Linked DNA regions of Saccharomyces cerevisiae S288C. The gene in region 3 interacts genetically with the main gene of each other region. Each region holds a gene or a part of one and is shown on either strand. Other genes may lie near its edges.

Region 1 (6,213 bases), on a different chromosome or scaffold from region 3:
GAGATGCGATTTAAAGAAGAGGAAATGCTTTTTGGCTTTGTTATACCAGAGTCCTTAGAAAAATCCATACTATAACCGCTCAGAGCTTGAGAAACGTCATGATCTAATAATTTGAAGTTTGGATTAGAGTTGTTTATAGTGGTAGTAGGTGAAATGGTTGATCCACGCCTCTCAGTAGTGGCAGTACCTTCAGGGATAATTTGTTGAGTGGGTTTACTGTTGCTACTATTTTTGTGATTGAGATTCCAAAACTCTATCGAATGAGAGATCGAATTTCTAGAATCCGTCATAGAAGGAAAGGAAGAGGTAACCACCTCGCTGTATCTTCTTGCGTCGCGACCAGCGTCCGGCATGAACTTCAATGCTTCTTCTGAAGATACAAAATCCTCTAAGATTGATTGCATGCTATTAGTATTATCATTATTGGTATCGTCTAGATTATAATCATTGTCGTTCAATCCTGTTGTACTGTTGGCGTTGTTTGGTAACCTAGCATCTAGAAACAAATTGGAATATATTGAAGGTTCTGCCTCAAGAAGGTTTGTCTTGGGAGAAGTTGCATGTTGGTGTGGCGATAATTCTATATTTTCATTAAAATGACTGTCATTGATAGGATTCATTGGAGAAAATACCTTTTCTAGTTGCTCCAAGTTTTTCAATTCGTCATTTAAAGCTTGAGGGGTGGCTACTGAACTATATATCTTATCACCACCATTTTTCTTACCATTAGCATTACTGCTTTGTTTCTCACCGTCATTCACGAACTGTGCGTTATTGGAATTTTTCCACTTCCAGTTGGTAGCTAAACTGGCGGTATCCTTTAAATTCATTAAACTATTATTAGCAGTCGTATTAGTTGTCGCTGTTAAAATTGGAGTATTAGTGGCGTCCGTTCTATGCGGAGAATCCATTGAGAATTGACCAAAGGTATATTCCGGCGAAGATATGCTATTGTTCGCAGAATTGTCATTAGAAGAAGTAGCAGAAACGTTGGTTGTGCTCAATACCGGGTCCATCAATCCGTTTGGCTCGTTCATTATAGACGAATCTTCTTGTTTCTTGTTTGCGTGACGAACGAAACTACTATTAGGTCCGAAGACTAGCATTATATTGTTTTTAATAAGAAGAAAAGAAAAAAAAGCCGAACTGATAAAGGCGTTAAATATTCAAAAAGGAAATTTCACGTTTTAATTCTTTTCTCTATAAATGTTAATTCTCTGGAAATAAAACGGAAAGAGACGGAAAAATTCTTAAGCCTGTTGACCAGTTGCGAAAAACACATCACAGAACTGCAGTTGCTTGTTATATACAAATTTAGACAGAAATAAGATGCATAAAAATAAAATTTAAGTACCTACAGGTATGCTCATGCATCTAAGGGAAACATGTGTAGCATCAAGAGGGTAGAAAGGCCCGCAAGCGGAATCCCAGAAATAGCCATAATACTTTTGATAGATAAGAGACCTTTGTTAAACGCTCTTAAAAGGGTGGGTTTGGTTTATCCGGAGAATAGCAATGCGCAAACCTTATTGCTCAAGAGTCCTAGTTCTAGCTCGGGTTTTCAGGTTCTAAAAATGACCAGTACGCCGCCAGCAGTGAAACCTCGTGGGAGAAAGCCGGTTCCTGCAGCCTGACATTTGCGCTGGGTTTTCACGGCACCATGCCTAGCAGCCCTGGCCACTGTCATCGCTACCAACCGCTTCGTACAACAGTACCCACCAGCAGCCGGCTGCTGGCCCCACATAGAAATTGTTACGGATCCGTCCCCGCGCTCGTACTTTACAGCCAACCCCACCTTTTTCCCTTTTTCTTGGTGTGCGGTTGCCGTTCCTTCGAGGAACGGATCTTCGGGCTTTTTTTGCCGCGCTCAAAATGCCCCGGAGCGGCACTTTCTATGTATGTTTTTTTCTTTCATTTTATTATTTCCTAGTGCTGGCAAAATGATTGCTTGGAGCTCACAATACCTGTGAGGAGACCCCTTCCCCTTTTCTTTTCCCCTCCCCTGATTTCGGAAAATCAAAAAAATCGTTACGCTTGACAATTATTCCTTTTTGAGCGATTATTTTTCAAATTTCACAACTTCTTTGCCTTCAGAGGTCCTGGGTGCCTTACATCGTAGCATTTATGTTGCATCTTTTATCGAAAACATAGCTCTTTACGCGCTAAGGAAAGAAGTTGACAGCAGCTGGGTACACTAGGCAAGGTAGACGTTTTTATCAACTGTCTGTAGATAGATTCACTGCATCCTTATACTGCAAGAGATGAAAATTTTGAAAACCCTTCATCTTTTGCGGCTTTAAGCTTTCAATGAAATGTATGTTAAACAGTGCTTATCTCCTGTTTTTACGCGCAATAACGCCAGCGGCCTTGTTTTCCTCTCTTCTCCGTTTAGCGTTAGCCATTCGTTCAAATGAACGCTAAAAACATAAGGGCTACCCTTAAAAACTCCGCTATGAAGGCAAAAAATATAAACAGGGTAAGCACCTATATGTAATTTGGCACGACGTGAGCAATTTCATGTTGTGCAGCGGGATAGCAAGCTGTGCAGCGGGATAGCAAGCTGTGCAGTATTCTAACAAAAAAAAACACGAAGAAAAAGAAAAGAATAGCGAATTTCTCAGTGACAGTCTTCCAATCTTTCAGAAAGGCAAAAAAAGTGATTTCGTCATTAACATTAAGAGTTAGCACTTTACCAGAGTGCTATTGCCTTCCAACATACGTTCCTCCCCTCCAAAGTAGTAGTACTATATAGATAAAGCTAGGGTATTCTGAGCAAATATAAATCAAACTAAAGTGATTCATAATTATAGAAAATATGCAGGGCGATATCAGAAGGAAAAAAGATCTTTTACCTCGTTATAAAACAGGAAGCAAATATAATTCCAGAAGAAGGGGCGGTTATCTGACTACCCCTATGAAAAAGATTATAGTATACATTATACTGTTATGTGGCGTTTATTTCGTTATAAAAGTTGCCTATTCTGATCTGAATAAAGAAACTGAGATCAAGCTAGAAAGCCATTCTTCTGATGTTTCTGCAAGTGCAAGCGATCATACCAATATTGCAGCCGGCGGTGCAGCTGATGCGACTAACAATAAGCAACCACAACAAGCTAAAGTACCTAAAGAAAAGTTCAATAATGAAGTCGCAAAGCAACAAGAAGTAAAGAATTTGGAGAACGATTTGAAACCACAAATTGATTCAGAAAAGCAAAAACAAATAAACAAGGACAAAAAAGAACAAAAACAGCAACTCCAGAAAGAGAAACAAGATCTCGCCAAGGAAAATTTGGCTAACAATGAAATCCTTGATAATTAACCAATTCAAAACTTCCAACAGTTTGGTGATGAAAATAATAAATGTTTTACGTTAACCTTATTGATTAACCTCACCTCCCTTATTCTTTGTATAGTATAAGTGCATACTAACATACTGTGTACGTACATAAAGATATGCAGAACGTTCACAAACATGTAGAAACCAGACACGAAAAAAAAAAAAAAAAAAAACATAAATAGATTAAAGATATTTATCACCACAAGTATACGATACGGCGCTGATAATTTACAATTCTATCCTTCGGGAAAGACAACAATAATTTAGGCTGATAATTAAAATCGAAGGAAAAGCAAGCGCTAATGCGCGAAAAAACACTTAAATTAAAACCCGAATCTTCTCTTAGTATACATATATGCAGAACATGCTAGCATACACATAAAAAGCACAATGCCTATAAACCATGTCAACGAATCCCTGTATTGTCCGGGCACGATAACATTCATACCCCACAGACCCGTAATCACATTCATTGGCAGAACAATAGTACCCAGTATGGTAATTTTTCCCAAAACGTCGTTCATGTCATTATTAACCTTCGTCATATCAATGTTGATTTGTGCCAGATAATTTGAATGCGATCTACTTAACAGTTTTTCATAATGGTTTAGCGATGAGACCATGGTTACAATATGATCTTGAATATCACCCAAATACATTGCGATTTCAGATTGTGGCGAAGCTTCCCATTGCTCATTATACCTTTTGGCAAATCCTTTTATCACATCAGCCTTGGATCCTAGCAATCTTAGTATACTCATCACTCTTTTACGGCATTCACCAATCCGCCTCAACATATCTCCTTTTCTCTTCCAACCTATCAAATTTGCATTGAATGACGCTTCAGAAGTGCTCATACTTCTTGAACTCACACTAGATTTTGCACTAGAGTAGGACGTCTTTTTAGAATAGACATCGAACGGAAATGCATCCTCATCGCTAGCGCCCGAATCGGAATCACTATCGCTAGAATCGCTATCACTAGAATCATCTGACTGATGCATCTTCAAAATGGCGTCCTCAATCTCATAAACTTCATCTTCGATAAGTTCTATCATAGGGGCAAATGCGTCTGTAATGTCATCGATTAAGGCATACGCAATCCAATCAGAGGTAACATTAAGGTAATCCTTTAGTAGTCTTGCTCTTCTTCGAACATTAATAGGATGTGGTGTGGGAGCAAAATGAAACGTCAATACACCAGTTCTGAAAACAATAATGTAAACATTCAATGGCTCTAATTCTCCCTCACGTGGTTTGTGCCTGTCTCCTGATTTTCTTTTGAATTTTTCGTTCTCTTCCATCTTTTTCTTTTCGCTTTTGACACGGCGTTTATAGCTTGATGATGATGTATTGGTTGTTCTATTTGCAGATGACCGACGGCGTGCACGTAAAATCGATGGAAGCCATTTGCTCCTACTTGCATTGCTTGTACTGTTATTGTTATTTGCATTTGATTCATTTGACATAGTAGCACCATAGGCTTGTGATTTACGACGTGAAATACTTTCATGATCCAAGGTAGCAGATTCTTGCTTTTCTTTTCTCCTCCGACGAACATGCTTTTCTGCTACAATATCGAAACTTCTAAAACAAATCAGGTAATAATCTCTAAATAGTTCCACTTTCTCACGAACTTCTCCCAAAAAAATATCTTCTGTAGTTAAAGGGTGAATTCCGAAAGCTTTACTTAATATTTTCATCTCCTCTTCAGTAGGATTGCTGACATCCAACCAGAATGGAGGAACATCCTCTATATTTGCCACAGACATAGACGATAAAGTGGAAGGGTTTTTAGCTGTCAATCCCTGGAGTTGAGATACAGTTTCTGCTTTTATACCAGGTGTTGGAGAATTTGGATGTGTCTTGATATGACCAGCGCTATTATCTTGGGAGTATATAGAAGCGACAAATAAATCTTGAAATTTTTGACCAGGTTGCAGTAAACCAGATATTGTCGGAGAATGAACAGTAGAGTCCAAATCCACCCTAAAATAAGTGAACCTGAAATGTTCTGGGTTATTAGAAATAATATGCGGAGGATATTGAATATTTCTGCCGACTAGTAAGTTATCTTGTAATCCGCTTTGAATTCTTGATTTTGAGTCCTTGGTTGAATTGGACCCAAGGACCATTGGACGTTGAATCAAATGCCATGGCGCAATTCTTTTTGGCCTTAAACGGCCGTTCTTCAAATTCTCTGTTTCGTTTACCCTTCTGTTTCCCAATTCAGGGACATCAATATTAGTTACGATTGGCTTTGAAAAAAGAATTCCATCTTCATTTGATGTTCCATCTTCCTCATCTTCATCGTATTGGAAGTGGAAAGCTTCAGCATCTTGAATAGCTTGACTTCTTAGTCTCTCTGTTTCTTCCTTGGAAAATTCTTCCAAAACAGTACAATCAGGCCAAGCTTTTGGCACTTCGCTACCCTCATCATCAAGCACTAAACAAACGTCATCCAAAGAAGAGTTATTTGAAGAAAGACTAGAAGATGGCCTTGAGTTATACTCATCCTCTTCATCGTTTGAATCACTGGATGTGGATTTGGAATTTTTGTTGCTACTATCATCAGAACCCCTCTTTTTCTTTCTTCTCTTGCTGTTATCATTAACCCCAGTACTTGCATTGTTGTTAACATGGTTCATTAACGCATCAACATCAATCACGACATCATTATTCGCGTTCGATTGTCTCCTATCGGTGGGGGAGTTTTCGTCAACAAAACTCTTATGAACAGATTTCCTTCTCTTCAGCCATGATTCAAGCTCTGAAGGGGATAAGTCCGATACTAATGATCTATTCTGATCAGAGGGTCTTAACCCTGCGGGTTTCTTGTAACTTGGTGTTGAAAACTTCATTATTGGCTGTGGTTG
Region 2 (7,246 bases), on a different chromosome or scaffold from region 3:
CAGCAAAGGTTTTTTCAAAGGTTCTATTGGAATAACCCTTTTCATTCAATGATTCGTAAATACAATACAACATTGACTGTAATGCCGGTTCATATGTACATGCTGGTGAGGAATATAAATCGTCACTACTATACTCCCAGGTTACTTCGCCGAGAACTCCCATGCAGGCATCTGTCAAAACCAGTGGTAACTTGCCGTACATTTTTGTCTTAGCAGGGGAGGCGCTTGCTCCTGACAAGCAGCATAACAAAATAGAACCACAAAGGAGGACCCAATACATTGTTTTCCTTGTGTCTTATAATTTTTGAATTGAGAACGTTCATCAGCAATTGAAGTTAATCATTCTCTTGCCACCTTATATAAGTTGCGACGAATCTTTTAATATAAACAATTGATCAAATTCTGTACATCTATGTCAAAGATGAAAGCTTCTGACAGCCAAAAAAAAGAGTCTTTCATCGCCAACGAATCAGTAGCTTTTGTTAGAATTAAGAAGTTTGGCTTTTCGCCAATTCTTTGAGATGAGGTACACCCACATTCCACGTAAAACTCAAATATCGGTCCAGGAAAATTCTCGAGTTCAATCACGTCACCAATAGTAATAATAATTGTGCTTCTCTTGACACTCGCAAGGGACTTATTCTTTACCATTCAAATTTTTCTCCTATTATACACCCGAAATAAAGGCAAAATGAGATATGGGTGCATTTTACAAAAGAGGTTGCAACTATCCCGTTCGCAGTGTAAACTATGATCTAGGGTCAACAAAGCGGTTAATTTGTCATAGTTCTTTGCAGCTTTTAATTCTCTGATATCTTTCCCTCAAAGTGTATTGTTTTCGTAACTTTAGATTTTATCTAAATGTTTCATTTCCGGCGCATTATTAGCAAAAGGGTGCTGTCTCCCTAGCTGCATTCCCAGACCGGAGGCACAGAATTCTGTAGTGATACTCTGTCATTACTTACTGCAGAAAAAGTTAAGTAGCCGCTCAGTACCTCTTAATTGAAATGAAAAATTTTCGTCGCTTATTTCCTGCTTTGTTTTTGAGTACGTTTCCAATCATTTTCTGGCGTACTTCGTGAAAGGGTAAAATTAAAATACTGAAAGCATTCATATGCTGATATAGTGCAGAAAAGCAATGAATGCTAACAACTTCCCGGATATCTGAGCAACTGGATTCGATCAGAAAAGGCACTTTTTACAGACGTACGTCAAAGCTTTTATCTTTTGGCTATCTTCGCCAACTCTATAAAAGGCTGTACTCCTATAATTAACTGATAAATAATTCCCGAATCATACTAGTATTTATTTTCTATGAGTTGTGCTAAACAACGACTTTTTGAAATGCAATATGCTGAAAAAATCACTTTTTAGTCGCAAAGTCAATTTTGGGTGATCGAGGGTTTTATCTTTTTATGCACATGTAATTCTTCCCAAGAAATAGGAATTTCTTCCCAGATGATATTTTCCAACACTGCTTCGTAGTTATAATAATCTTGCAATGCCAACCGTAAAATAGTAACGCATTTCTAGAAGAATTTCGCAATTCATTTTATATTTTTTAATCAAATGAGAAAAAAGTATAACGATTAAAAACTCTCTAACCATGTATTGGAAAAAGATGTTGCAACTTATGTAATATTCCTTGGCAGGGTTTCCGGGGCCTGTGCGCAACTTTAACGCCATTTTATGCAGGCCGAGCATTCTAAGCCTCAAAAAAAGTTGTATCTCCGAACCTGCCAATCTTTACTGTCGTACCAACCAAGGGTATGAAAAAAGCAAATAAGGCCTACAGCTTATTCAGCTTAGTATACTTCATCAGATTTATGATAAAATTTTTTTGCACTGATCCATCATTTTTTTATGGAACTGGTGGAGGAAGCTAGTTAAACCGCGAATTAAGTTAGGCGATGCGATGCGCCTACGTATTTTCAAAGTTTTACTGAAATTGGCTCAAAGCATAATTGTGATTGGAATGGGAAGCAATAAAAAAATGACTTTTGAAGTTTTCAGTTTGAATGACTTTCGATTAAATGTTTTTATTGATAATTGAGCGAAAGTGGTAGAAAGTATGTACTGGCTATTTTTCTTCCAAATATAGCCGAGACCGAACAAAATTTAAACAAAACAATTAATTAAATTATTCATTATTCATTATTCATATTAGAATATCAAGTTGTAAAAAGCTTGAAAGTCTTTTTTTTTAAAAAAAAAATAGACTGGACATGAGTCTTATAAATAAAGGGCAGTGAAAGAAGACTAGTGTATTAGAAGTGTATCCGCATGTGATATGACTATTTAAGTGTCACAACGGCATTCTTTTATTGCTGATGATAAGATCTAGAGAACTCTTCAGGGATGTTTTTCTACATACGTTCTAAGCTTTCCCACCTACACTAAACCAAATACTAATAAAGTGTATAAAAATTTCCGGACCACTCAAACAAAATTTCGCTCAGCAATACTTCAAATCTTGACTTGCTTTTATTTTTATCTTTCGGTTTTCCACCTGACGTTATCAACTTTTCTTTAATGAATTGAACTTCCAAGCTTTAACACTGTTCCTGAGCCTCTTGAGTATTGACATAAACAGTCAGACCTTCTCTCGTATTTTTATAGATCGAACTTGAACCATCAATTTGGTGCAATGCAGTGCAATTTGCATTTGGTTCAGACACTATGTCCAAGAAAAGAATATAATATCAGTCAAGGTTTCACCCCTCATTCCAGGCGTGACGGGATTTCTTTAAATTTCCTATTTTCAAATACCGGATATATTACTTTCTGCGCAATTATCAAAGATAAAATATAGTAAGCAGGTATTAAACATCAATTCCATTCCCTCTAATTATAAATCAATTTGCTTCTCGATACACATAATCTATAATACTCTTTTACATAAAGTTTAACGTGTCTGATGGATCTAGCAAAGCATCCCAGTCAATATCGAGTAGGTGAGTAGTTTCAAGATTAGATCTCTGGTGAGTTGCCTGCTCAAGCTGCTGAATTTCTTGTCTTTTTTTTTTCATGGAATCCTCAAGAAGCAGTTTTGCGGTCTTTTGTGCTTCAAAAGCAATACGTGTACCGAGAATTTGAGTAATATTATCTAACGTTTTCATGGCAGTAGCAACATGTGAAAGACTTTCCGGTGTGTCGATGGCAAGAAGGACACAGACGTACTGGAATGAGGTGCTCAACACATTCCACCATGCTTGATCCAGTTTTACAAGAGCGTATGCTGCTGATAGCGCAGTGTTGCCGATATCAATTATTTGTAAAACAACATTTTTATCAAGAATATGATTCAGCAAACGAAGTCTTCTATACAAAGAGAGGCATATATCACCCTTGGTCAACGACAAAAACGGATGTGCGTTTGGTGATTCATGAACGGCCGCCAGGGCCTGCAACAATTGCGCTGCGTTTGCGTTCACGCTGTCTTGGGGAATCAGGTGTGCTAACGCGACTAAATGAGCTGTAAAATTACCGTCCGTCTCCTTAACTGGCTTGCAAGTAATTCTATTCAGCGTAACACTTGAGCGCCCATAGTCATATGAAAGAATGGTATTGATTGACCATGCACACCAAAATAATCTTCTAGTGTGTTCGCTCACTACAGTAGTTCTTTTTGGTGGAACGTTGTTCGATATCGCTATATCCTCTCTGTCAATCTCATGATGCAGGCCAATTGCCTCAGAAAGATGGATGGTTACGCAGCTAGCTAACCATGCTACATGGGGCCTCGAAGTGGCTCGCAGGTAAATGGTGCGCAAAACCCATGCGGAGACTTGCTCCACCGTGGGAATGCGACTGAAAGTCGGGTCATCAAGGATCCCTTTGGCATATTGTACTATATCCATCTCTCGGGGATGGCCAAGACTTCCCATAAAAAATGATCCTAAAGCTATCACCCCTGCAATAACAGCCCCATACTCTAAGGTTTTTACGTCGCCATCCCAGTATTTTTCAACATTCTTTGCCAGTTGCTCTGGATTAACAACATCAAATATCGGGTGAACAACTGAAAAATAAACTTTTGAGATACGGTAATACTCTTCCTTTGTAACTAAATCAGAAAGAAGGACATGTGAGTTTGGATTTTCTTCCGGTCTGATTCCGCAATGCCAAGCGAAGGAATGTAGGCGTGGAGGATTAGTTGATCGGAGTTCGAGACCAAGACAGCGGGGGAAAGCAACTGCAGAGTGCTGGATCGTGTACCTAGACTTAGTTGGATCTACAATGTTTTGACTTGTAACGTTCTGTGTATTTATAGGCTGCGGTTGTTCGTTTCTATGTATACCCGGAAGAACAAAAGGTCTGCTCTCCGTATCAGGAGATGTTTCACCTACTTGTTGCACTTGAGGTGATGCCGAAGGGACACGACCGTCAATATAATGACATACATATCCATAGGCAACGCACATTTCACATGGAGATTTGCCATTACATTTCCTTTTACGTTCCCTACAGGGCACGCAAGCCTTTCGGACTCTTTGTCGCTTGTGTGGTAATGCTGTCGATCCTGGGGATGCCATTTGGTGAGCTTAAAGTAGGAAAGTGTGCGCTAAGTTATCTTACTGAAGTTCTTTCAGGTTTCTACTTGAAAAAATAATGTATCTTTTCACTCGAGAATGGCCTCTTGTAATTTTCATATTTATCGCACGATACGGGATATACTGGCTCCTCTCTATCACTTTGATCGTACTATATTTATTTCTATTAGTTTGGGTTATATACCACGATGAAGTATTTCTCTATATATGAACTTATTCTATAAAATGCTGCTTTTCGGAGATCCTTTTTTTAGACTTCATAAAAGTGCTCCATGCATACGTTGCTGCGACAAAAATGCCAAGTCCGCTCAACCCGATGCCCATGTACCACGAACAACGATATCCTTTCAAAGGCTTGGCACCTCCGTCATTTACTCTAGATTCAATTGTACCTGCAATACCCAAACCTATCGATATCGAATAGTTTACCACCGTATTAACCAAAGAGGCTGCAAGACCTTGATGTTCGTGTGGCATCGAGTCACTAAGCATTATTGTAGCGGCCGGAAAGGACATGTCCATTCCCCAAGGCATAACAATGATTGACACAAACGTTTGAGCCCAATACGTTTGGTGAACGGGGGCCGTAGCAATCAATATAGTTCCGACTGTGAAAGCTGTCATCGCAAAAAGCATAACTGTGCTTGGGGGTGTATGGCTTAGAAGGAAACCTGTCGTCACGGCTGCACAAAATCCACTGATTGCTACAGGTGAAAACTGTGCACTAGAAAGAAGGGGGGTTTGGCCCCTTGAGTCTTCCATGAACTGCCATGTATAGAATATCCAAATACCAAAGCTGGCCCATCCCGCAGCTATGCAGCTAAGTACAAAAGCAGTATCACTAGAAAGAGCAGCAAATGGTAGCAGAGGGAAAGCTGCTCGGGACTCGATATATGCAAAAATAACCAAGAAAAAGGTACCAACTATCAAAAGAGCGTATGTGTATGGAGTTTGCCAACCCACAACGGGGCCTTGGTTCCAAGCGAAATTAAAGAGAATTAATCCAACAACGCCGGTAACTGACCCTGCAAAATCGATTCGTTCCAACAACTTGAAAGATGAGGCATCGCGGCTTGGCATGGGGGTGTGAGGGATTACAAAGTAACCTGCTACAGCTAAAACAAAGCATGCAATACCCATTATCCAGTAAGCCCATGGCCACCACGCCAGTTGACCCAACATGGATGAGAAAACAGCCCCAAGGAAGAAGCCACCAGGTGCTGAAGCACCAAACAGACTAAAGACCATGTTTTTTCTTCTTCCTGGCTTATATGTGCGTCCGAGAATCGCAATGGCATTTGGCAACAAAAAGGCCGGACCCATGCCTTGAAATGCACGACAGCAGTCAAAAAAAATCTGATTAGAGTAGACGCTAAACCCAGCAAGTAAGGACCAAAGTGCGTACCAAAAGAAGCCAAGGACAAAGAATTTCTTGTGTCCGAAGATATCTCCGAGTCTTCCAGCAATTAAAATGAATGTACCAACAGTTAGCGAATATGCGGAAGCAAACCAACTAAGTTGTCCAGCATTCGTTGTTCCAAAACTGTTACCGATGATGTGAAGCGGCGCTAATGATTGTCCAAGTCCTGCCTGAGTCATTAGTTGGGCAGAGCACAGCACTCCGACAAAGGCACTCTCCCATAAAAGGGATTTAGGCCTCTCATCCTGAATATCAAACTCTGATAATACTTTATCCTCCTTTTTCAAGGCTTCCGCGTTTGTATCCAAGTTTTTCTGCGTTACGGAGGAGCTAGTTGACATATTGATTTTATGTTCTTTATGTTCCAGCAATTGATGAATGTACAATATTTGTTTTCTTTTCAGGTAGAGAGTGAGATAGAAGTAAGTTTCCACAAATGAAGTTATTGGAGGCTAGATATACTACTCCCTTGGTATTTAAAACTGCTGCCAAATCTCGTTTATTTTAATCCCTACCGATAGCTCATCATTGAGAGCTTCCGCAATATCCGCACATTTCGTGGAGCGCTTCACGTGAAAAGAGTGGCCCATTGAAAAAAAAGCTGAAACATTCGTAGCGACAACCCTGGCGACAAGCGTGGCGACAACCGCAATAGCCGCCACAGCCGCAATAGCTACACATCACCTTTTTGGGCTTAAAGTGGTAGGTAATTTTGCTTGGCGCGGTTACCTACCACTCTAAGCCGCAACAACAGAACACGTATGGAAAGCTTGCCGCAATTGTCATCGTTCTGGCTAGTTCATTCAACGTTTTAGGTTTCCACCCCGTTACATTTGCACGTTCAGCGTAATGAGCGTGGGTACTCGATGATTGTCGTTTGTTAAGGCTAATCTAGTTGAAAAAGAAACGCGTGAAAAATGTTATTGAAGTTTCTTATCCAATTAAGATTTCAGCTTTTCAGCTTTTTTTCTAGGCGCTCACTTGGTTCCATACCATTCTTTTCAAAAAGTCTGCCATGTAATTATACGAATACTGTGAATCTTTTATGATAGCATGCTCCTATTATAGATGTGATCGATGTCTGTGTGCTTCTGGGCTTACAAACGAGGATATGCACACAAGGTTCCAAATTGCCGAAGCTGCAAAGAAGCAAGCAGGCTCCTGAAGCACCGAATCAAGATCAAATCATTGTAGCGACTTATTTTAGATGAACTTTGGAAAGCGGCGTCTATAAAAGTATAAAAAAATACAGCAAGAAACCTTTTTAAAATCT
Region 3 (7,819 bases):
CATTTATAATAACATCTTGATGCTTTTCAACGAGATAGTGCCCATTTTATTTTGCATGTATTATACTTCCAGCACCCGGTGTGCATTATATGTAACTTTAGAAATAATCTTTTGTATATTATTCGCGATTGAATGTGCGTGCTGCATTATCAACCAAGTTTTAATATATCTGTTTCTCTTATTTATTGTTAGTTAAGTCTTCGGCAAAACGATGGAAAAAATCATGAACTGAATAGAGACAAGTAAACCAAATTATAAACAAGGTTTCCCTTCTGAAGAGATACTAAGGAAGAAGAAGAACGACCCAATAATATTTCTGAATATGCAACCATTTGATAGTGGGCATGATGATTTAGTTCATGATGTCGTTTATGACTTTTACGGAAGACATGTGGCAACATGCTCTTCTGATCAACATATTAAAGTTTTTAAATTAGACAAGGACACGAGTAATTGGGAACTCAGTGACTCATGGAGAGCTCACGACAGTAGTATCGTGGCCATTGATTGGGCCAGTCCAGAATATGGGCGCATCATTGCTTCAGCCTCTTACGATAAGACGGTAAAATTATGGGAAGAAGATCCCGACCAAGAAGAATGCTCTGGCCGTCGTTGGAACAAGCTGTGTACCCTGAATGATTCCAAAGGATCACTTTATAGTGTAAAATTTGCGCCAGCGCATTTGGGCTTAAAATTAGCTTGTTTGGGTAACGATGGAATCCTCAGACTTTATGATGCCTTAGAACCTTCTGACCTAAGGTCATGGACACTGACTTCTGAGATGAAAGTGCTATCTATACCACCAGCAAATCATTTACAGTCTGATTTTTGTCTCTCTTGGTGTCCTTCGAGATTTTCTCCTGAAAAGCTCGCAGTCTCTGCATTGGAACAAGCGATTATATACCAAAGGGGTAAAGACGGTAAACTTCACGTTGCAGCAAAACTTCCCGGTCATAAAAGTTTAATAAGAAGTATCAGCTGGGCTCCTTCCATTGGTAGATGGTATCAACTCATTGCAACAGGTTGCAAAGATGGTAGAATTAGAATTTTCAAAATCACAGAAAAACTAAGTCCCCTGGCCTCAGAGGAGTCTTTAACTAACTCAAATATGTTTGATAATAGTGCTGATGTTGACATGGATGCACAGGGCAGATCAGACTCAAATACCGAAGAGAAAGCTGAGCTACAATCAAACTTGCAAGTTGAACTTCTAAGCGAGCATGATGACCATAATGGCGAAGTTTGGTCCGTGTCTTGGAATTTAACGGGTACAATCTTAAGCAGTGCTGGGGATGATGGGAAGGTACGTTTATGGAAAGCCACTTATTCAAATGAATTTAAGTGTATGTCAGTAATTACTGCCCAACAATAAATAAGAATATATGTATACATAACATTATATATTGGTACTTTATACGTGTGCATTATTCTGTATAATACGAGGCAACAGATGAATCAAGAAAGATGATGCTTTTAAAAAGCTCTTACAAATATAATGATATTACATCAAATGATATTATTATTCTTGATATTGGGTATTCTTTCGAATTATATCAAGCTTCCCTTCCCTCGCCTTTTCGCCTGGAAATTTTTCAATGCCGAGATTAAAAAATTTGTCAATGAAAATGCATTCTACTACTTAATAAAGAGGTGATGAGCTTATAAGCCAACTTCTTTTAAACACAAAACTAAATCTGATATTGAGGACCCCCACCAACTATGCCACCAAAAGAAGCTCCCAAGAAATGGAAGGCGCCAAAAGGGCCAAAACCTACCCACCGTAAAAATAAAAATAAGCTTGAATTAGGCAGAGCTATTAAATATGCACGTCAAAAAGAAAATGCCATCGAGTATTTACCTGATGGTGAAATGAGGTTCACTACCGATAAGCATGAGGCCAACTGGGTTAAATTAAGATCTGTAACTCAAGAATCAGCTTTAGATGAATTCTTGAGTACAGCTGCACTGGCAGACAAAGATTTCACGGCCGATAGACATTCAAATGTTAAAATTATTAGAATGGATAGCGGTAATGATTCTGCGACATCTCAAGGGTTTTCTATGACTAATGAGCAGCGTGGAAATCTTAATGCGAAGCAAAGAGCGCTTGCTAAGGATTTGATTGTTCCAAGGAGGCCTGAATGGAACGAGGGCATGTCCAAGTTTCAGCTTGATAGGCAAGAAAAGGAAGCGTTTTTAGAATGGAGAAGAAAATTGGCACATTTACAAGAAAGCAATGAAGACTTGTTGTTAACACCGTTTGAAAGAAATATCGAAGTTTGGAAACAGTTATGGAGAGTTGTTGAAAGATCAGATTTAGTTGTTCAAATTGTAGATGCGAGGAATCCGTTGCTGTTTAGATCTGTCGATTTAGAAAGATATGTAAAAGAGTCAGATGACAGAAAAGCAAACTTACTGCTAGTTAATAAAGCAGATTTATTGACCAAAAAGCAACGTATCGCTTGGGCAAAGTACTTTATCTCCAAGAATATTTCGTTCACGTTTTACTCTGCATTGAGAGCTAATCAATTATTGGAGAAACAAAAGGAAATGGGGGAAGATTATAGAGAACAAGATTTCGAGGAAGCTGATAAAGAAGGGTTCGATGCTGATGAAAAAGTTATGGAAAAAGTTAAAATTCTGTCCATTGACCAACTGGAAGAATTGTTTTTATCAAAAGCTCCAAACGAGCCTTTATTGCCACCTCTGCCCGGTCAACCTCCACTGATTAATATTGGTTTGGTTGGTTATCCAAATGTAGGTAAATCCTCCACTATTAATTCGCTCGTGGGTGCCAAGAAAGTTTCTGTTTCATCCACGCCTGGTAAAACAAAACACTTCCAAACTATTAAGTTATCTGATTCTGTCATGCTTTGTGACTGTCCCGGTCTTGTCTTCCCAAACTTTGCATATAACAAGGGTGAGCTCGTGTGTAATGGTGTTTTACCTATTGATCAATTACGTGATTATATTGGTCCAGCAGGTTTAGTAGCAGAAAGAATACCAAAGTATTACATTGAAGCGATTTATGGTATCCATATTCAAACCAAATCAAGGGATGAAGGTGGGAATGGGGATATACCAACTGCTCAAGAATTGTTAGTCGCATACGCCAGAGCTCGTGGTTATATGACTCAAGGTTACGGTTCTGCTGATGAACCAAGAGCAAGTCGTTATATATTGAAAGATTACGTCAATGGGAAATTACTGTATGTCAACCCTCCGCCCCATCTAGAGGATGATACACCTTACACTAGAGAAGAGTGTGAAGAATTTAACAAAGATTTATATGTGTTCGACAGATTACCGGACACCAGAAAGGAGCAAGTGCAAAATGCTGCTAAGGCTAAAGGCATTGATATCGTGGATTTAGCTCGTGATTTGAATCAGCTAACGTTTTCAGCTCACACTGGTGGTGACACACAAAAAGAAGCCAAATCTGTTACGCACGGTGGTAAACAAGCTGCATTGTACAATGCCGCTGAGGACTTGGATAGAGACTTCTTCAAGATGAACAACGTCGAAGGTAGATTAAGTACACCATTCCACAAAGTTCAAAATAGTTCAGCTGGTAAGAGACATAACAAAAAAAACAAAAGTAAAAATGCGAAAAGCAAAGTTTTTAGCATTGAAAATAATTAGCGGTAACTAACATATATCTTCTCAAAAAAACTGTGTACTATTATCTTTTCATCTCGCCAATTAATGACAGCGTTATTTGAGAATAGACCTAAGATAATAAAACTATGTTCGTTACCCGGACAAATTTTCTTGGAAGAATTTTTGAGTCCTAGAGATATTATAAAACGGCCCTCTATTAATTTGCTCTTTCTTTCCTCAGTTTAATTCTTCTTTCGAATAAAAAATAAAAATATCATGGCTCTTCAACACATTTCAACATGTTCAAGTAATTTGTGTTAGTGGATGACCATTTAGGGGCTGCTGGCCTGGTTACCGGGAGTTTTTCTTGGATCCAAGCTAGCTTTTCCGTCTGATTATCCTTAAGCTTCACAAATTACAATTTTTCCCACGCATTAAGAAATAAGCTCAAGATGCCTAAAATAAGTTCTATCCCGCCTTTTTTCGCTAACAATGACTGAGTATTCCCACAGTCTATAGTTTGATAGTAGATGGGCGGAAATTTTTCTCATATATTTACTTTTTATAGGAGAGTATATTTACGTACGTATAGTGATTGCATGTAGTTGCTCCCTATATCTTGTCATATGAGCGTGATACTGACCGATACCTGTTACAGATGTCGGTCTGGATTTGTTCGTTTTTCTTCCCTAAAGTAGGTCAGTATATATAAAATATGGCCGGAGGAAAGCTTCACCACTTTATCACCACTAAATTTATAAAGTAGAATACAATTTCAACATACACAGAGAATAAAAAAAGGTTGACAGGACACATAATAGCAAGGCAAGATGGCTGAAACTTCCAACGACCCCTTTCTGTCCTACGTTTTGAGTAGCAAACAATTAACTAATTTGAATCGTCTACGAAGGAAAGCAGTTACAAAACAACTGGGATCAAGTGACGACAATAAGGTCTCAGAGGAGTTTTTGAGGTATCAACATACTTATCAAAGAGAAGCATTTGAATATCTGCAAACAAAACATGACGCCCACAAAATAATGGAGTCACAGTACGAACAGTACCAAAGCAGTTCAAAAACAAGAAGATATAGTATCGATTTAGATTCTGTAGATGCAGTTGACACGGAATCGCAAACAGAATACCCAAATGAGGAGTTTATTGATAGAAACGAAGATAGCGAAGCTGTTATGGAGTTGAGAAAGAGATTGTTGGGGAAGGGACAGAATAAGGGTTTAGGATATGAAACTACGAAATCAGTCGATAGGCAAATTGAGGACCAGGACACGTTGCAACAGGATTTGATTCAGGATATGAGCAAACTTGTGGGCAGTTTGAAGCAAGGAGCTGTGGCATTTCAATCAGCACTTGATGAAGATAAGCAAGTTCTTGGAGCTGCAGAGATAGGTATTCAAGTTGCTTCTCAAGGTTTAATGGATGTTAGCGGTAAATTAAGGAAATATGACAAGAGTAAATTGAGTTACTTGTTTTATATTACTGTTTTCATTTTTATGATTCTCGGACTGGTGTTTACATTTATCATAATTCAATTATTCCCGGCCCTATAATGTAATTATAACGATGGAATGATGTTTTTTGGAAGAAAAATTCAACTGTTTATTAATATTTACGGCATTTTTTCATGTAGTTGAGATTATTCCTATTGAAAAAAGCAAATTGTGAGAAAAAAGTATACAATAAAATTTGTATAGGCTGCAGAATTCTCCTTTCCGTATAGTTGCCTACTTCCCGTCTCAAACTGAATCCTGCTATCTGATTGCTTTCTGTGTTGGTGCGGTGAATCTTTTTATACATATAATATTTGAAAAAGAATAAACATTTGAGAAAACAAAAGTAGCTAAACAAAACGACAAAATCATAACATTTCCTGATCTGACTGAAAGCTAATAGAACAGCAGTGTTCGATGAGGGTAAAATAAGGAGGGGTCTTCGGTTACGTTATACTAGTAAGTTGATTTTGATTTTAAGTCATATTATTGAACGCATTATGATGATACTCATAATGGACTAAATTTTTCTCATGTATAAGGTCCATAGTAGCCAAGTGCATTCCATTACAATGTTATTGATATTATCTGTGCTCTCAAATTCGGCTGAAGAAAACTACTACAAACACAACACATCAAATAATGTAACACAGCCTTGCTTATTGCCGGTGTAAGGGTCGACTATCTTCGATCTACTCATATTCATATTATCAATTTATTATCATATATGGTATAAGAAAATGACATGAACATTGAGAAACAACCAATAGATTAATTGGAAGCTGAAATGCAAGGATTAATAACTTGATAAATGGAAGTTAAAAGATAGTATTAATGATGACTAAATATGGATTCTGTTATCCTTGTATAAGAGAAGTATAAAACAAACACCAATTGGTTTATTATTCTCTTTTCTTCAATTATAATCAGTACAATAATGGCTCCAGCAGCTGTCACATATTTTAATGATGATTTGCGCATATATAACAGAGATAGGTTTAAATAATTTAATAATTGTTGGGATTTCACAACTATTGAAGGCTATAATATTATGTATAAAGAATATACCAGGAAGTCAACTCCCAGACCTTGAAATCCTCAAAATGAAGACGATAGTTTTACATAATAATATTACTTTTTCTTCTTTCCTTCTATATTTCTCCTTCACATTCATATTACGCTGACAATCTTTGCATTTCAGCTTCCACCAAGCCTGATCACCGTTTACCAATATTTGTGTCATTTTCTTATACCTCAGGTAATAATAAACTAGCAACCTGAATAATATCAAATAGACGATATGTTAAAGTTTCATTCTAACAATTACCACCCATTCCAAAATATCTATTGTTAGAGAGGCGTTAATAGAACAACACAACACAAAAATACTGAAGGTCAAAGTTTGTTGTATTACGGGCTCGAGTAATACCGGAGTGTCTTGACAATCCTAATATAAACGGTCTTAGGGAAGTAACCAGTTGTCAAAACAGTTTATCAGATTAATTCACGGAATGTTACTTATCTTATATATTATATAAAATATGAATCATATTAAGTGGTGGAAGCGCGGAATCTCGGATCTAAACTAATTGTTCAGGCATTTATACTTTTGGTAGTTCAGCTAGGGAAGGACGGGTTTTATCTCATGTTGTTCGTTTTGTTATAAGGTTGTTTCATATGTGTTTTATGAACGTTTAGGATGACGTATTGTCATACTGACATATCTCATTTTGAGATACAACAAAGTTCATAAAGAAATTAGCCATCTTAGTATAGTGGTTAGTACACATCGTTGTGGCCGATGAAACCCTGGTTCGATTCTAGGAGATGGCATTTTTTCCGAAATTTCGCCTTCTCGCACAACTTTCCAAACCCGACCAAGAGAAGGAAGAAATCATTTTTTTTGTTGCGAGTTGTCATAGAACGAGGTCGAGAAACAGAAGAGGAATTGAAAATGAATTGTAAAAGCGTTCGTTCTATGCCTCTAATAAGAGAGTACGTCTTGCTTGATGTGAACCCAAATGCCCACAAAACAGTACGATTTGCAGTTATGTAAATTTGTGGTTTGTCTCCTGGCAAAAAGAATGCATTCGTACTGCACATAATTGAAATAAGGATGTAGTTCAACTTCTATGAATGCTCGGCGATACGATATGTAGAGGGGACAAAAATATGTAGGTATCCTATGGTAAATAAATCGGTCTGTTTTAAAACCTGTTTTAGTGCAGCTTCTTTCCACGAAAGAAATAGTGTAAGTTAGAGGTACTTCTCTTTTACCTAAAGGAGGTGTAGTTATGATAAAAAGCGAAGCTAACTAAGACAGCTAAGCTCTTTATGTTGATAGTTAAAAGTTAACAGGTTGTATTAATGAAGAATGAATATGGATCTTTTTGTACTTATATAACAGAGGTATAAACCACATGCCGATTGTTTCATTATTATATATGGCTAATATAATGGTGATTCCGGCAGCTTCATACATTTAATGTGACGACTCATATTGCTCTTATATGTGACTTTCAGATCTCATTCAATTAATAGACTCTTAACTCAAATTCAGTACTTTCTGACATGCTCATTTACATTTCCTTTTGTAATAGTGCTTCCATACTTCATCGTATAGGATTTAAACATTTAGATCGTTACCATAGTAACTCATGTTACTATTAAATACCGCTCGTTTCAACACATTATATAATACTTTGGCATTG

The links. A genetic interaction does not mean that the proteins touch.
Region 1: mutations in USE1 (region 3) and YKL063C together harm fitness more than expected from each alone (negative genetic interaction), as found in Saccharomyces cerevisiae (one large-scale study listed by BioGRID).
Region 2: mutations in USE1 (region 3) and RDR1 together harm fitness more than expected from each alone (negative genetic interaction), as found in Saccharomyces cerevisiae (one large-scale study listed by BioGRID).

The regions. Positions count from the first base shown.
Region 1 is NC_001143.9:318,121-324,333, reverse strand, and holds YKL063C (uncharacterized protein), read left to right. Parts: upstream 1-2,815; coding exon 2,816-3,319; downstream 3,320-6,213. Other genes in the region: stress-responsive transcriptional activator MSN4, read right to left, coding at 1-1,106; putative Mg(2+) transporter MNR2, read right to left, coding at 3,661-6,213.
Region 2 is NC_001147.6:1,048,579-1,055,824, reverse strand, and holds RDR1 (Rdr1p), read right to left. Parts: upstream 4,536-7,246; coding exon 2,895-4,535; downstream 1-2,894. Other genes in the region: FRE3 (ferric-chelate reductase), read right to left, coding at 1-280; AMF1 (Amf1p), read right to left, coding at 4,767-6,314. UniProt on the Saccharomyces cerevisiae protein: Transcriptional repressor of multidrug resistance genes, such as PDR5. Required for growth on non-fermentable carbon sources like lactate or glycerol.
Region 3 is NC_001139.9:312,912-320,730, forward strand, and holds USE1 (SNAP receptor USE1), read left to right. Parts: upstream 1-4,430; coding exon 4,431-5,168; downstream 5,169-7,819. Other genes in the region: SEH1 (Seh1p), read left to right, coding at 323-1,372; ribosome biogenesis GTPase LSG1, read left to right, coding at 1,720-3,642. UniProt on the Saccharomyces cerevisiae protein: SNARE required for targeting and fusion of Golgi-derived retrograde transport vesicles with the ER.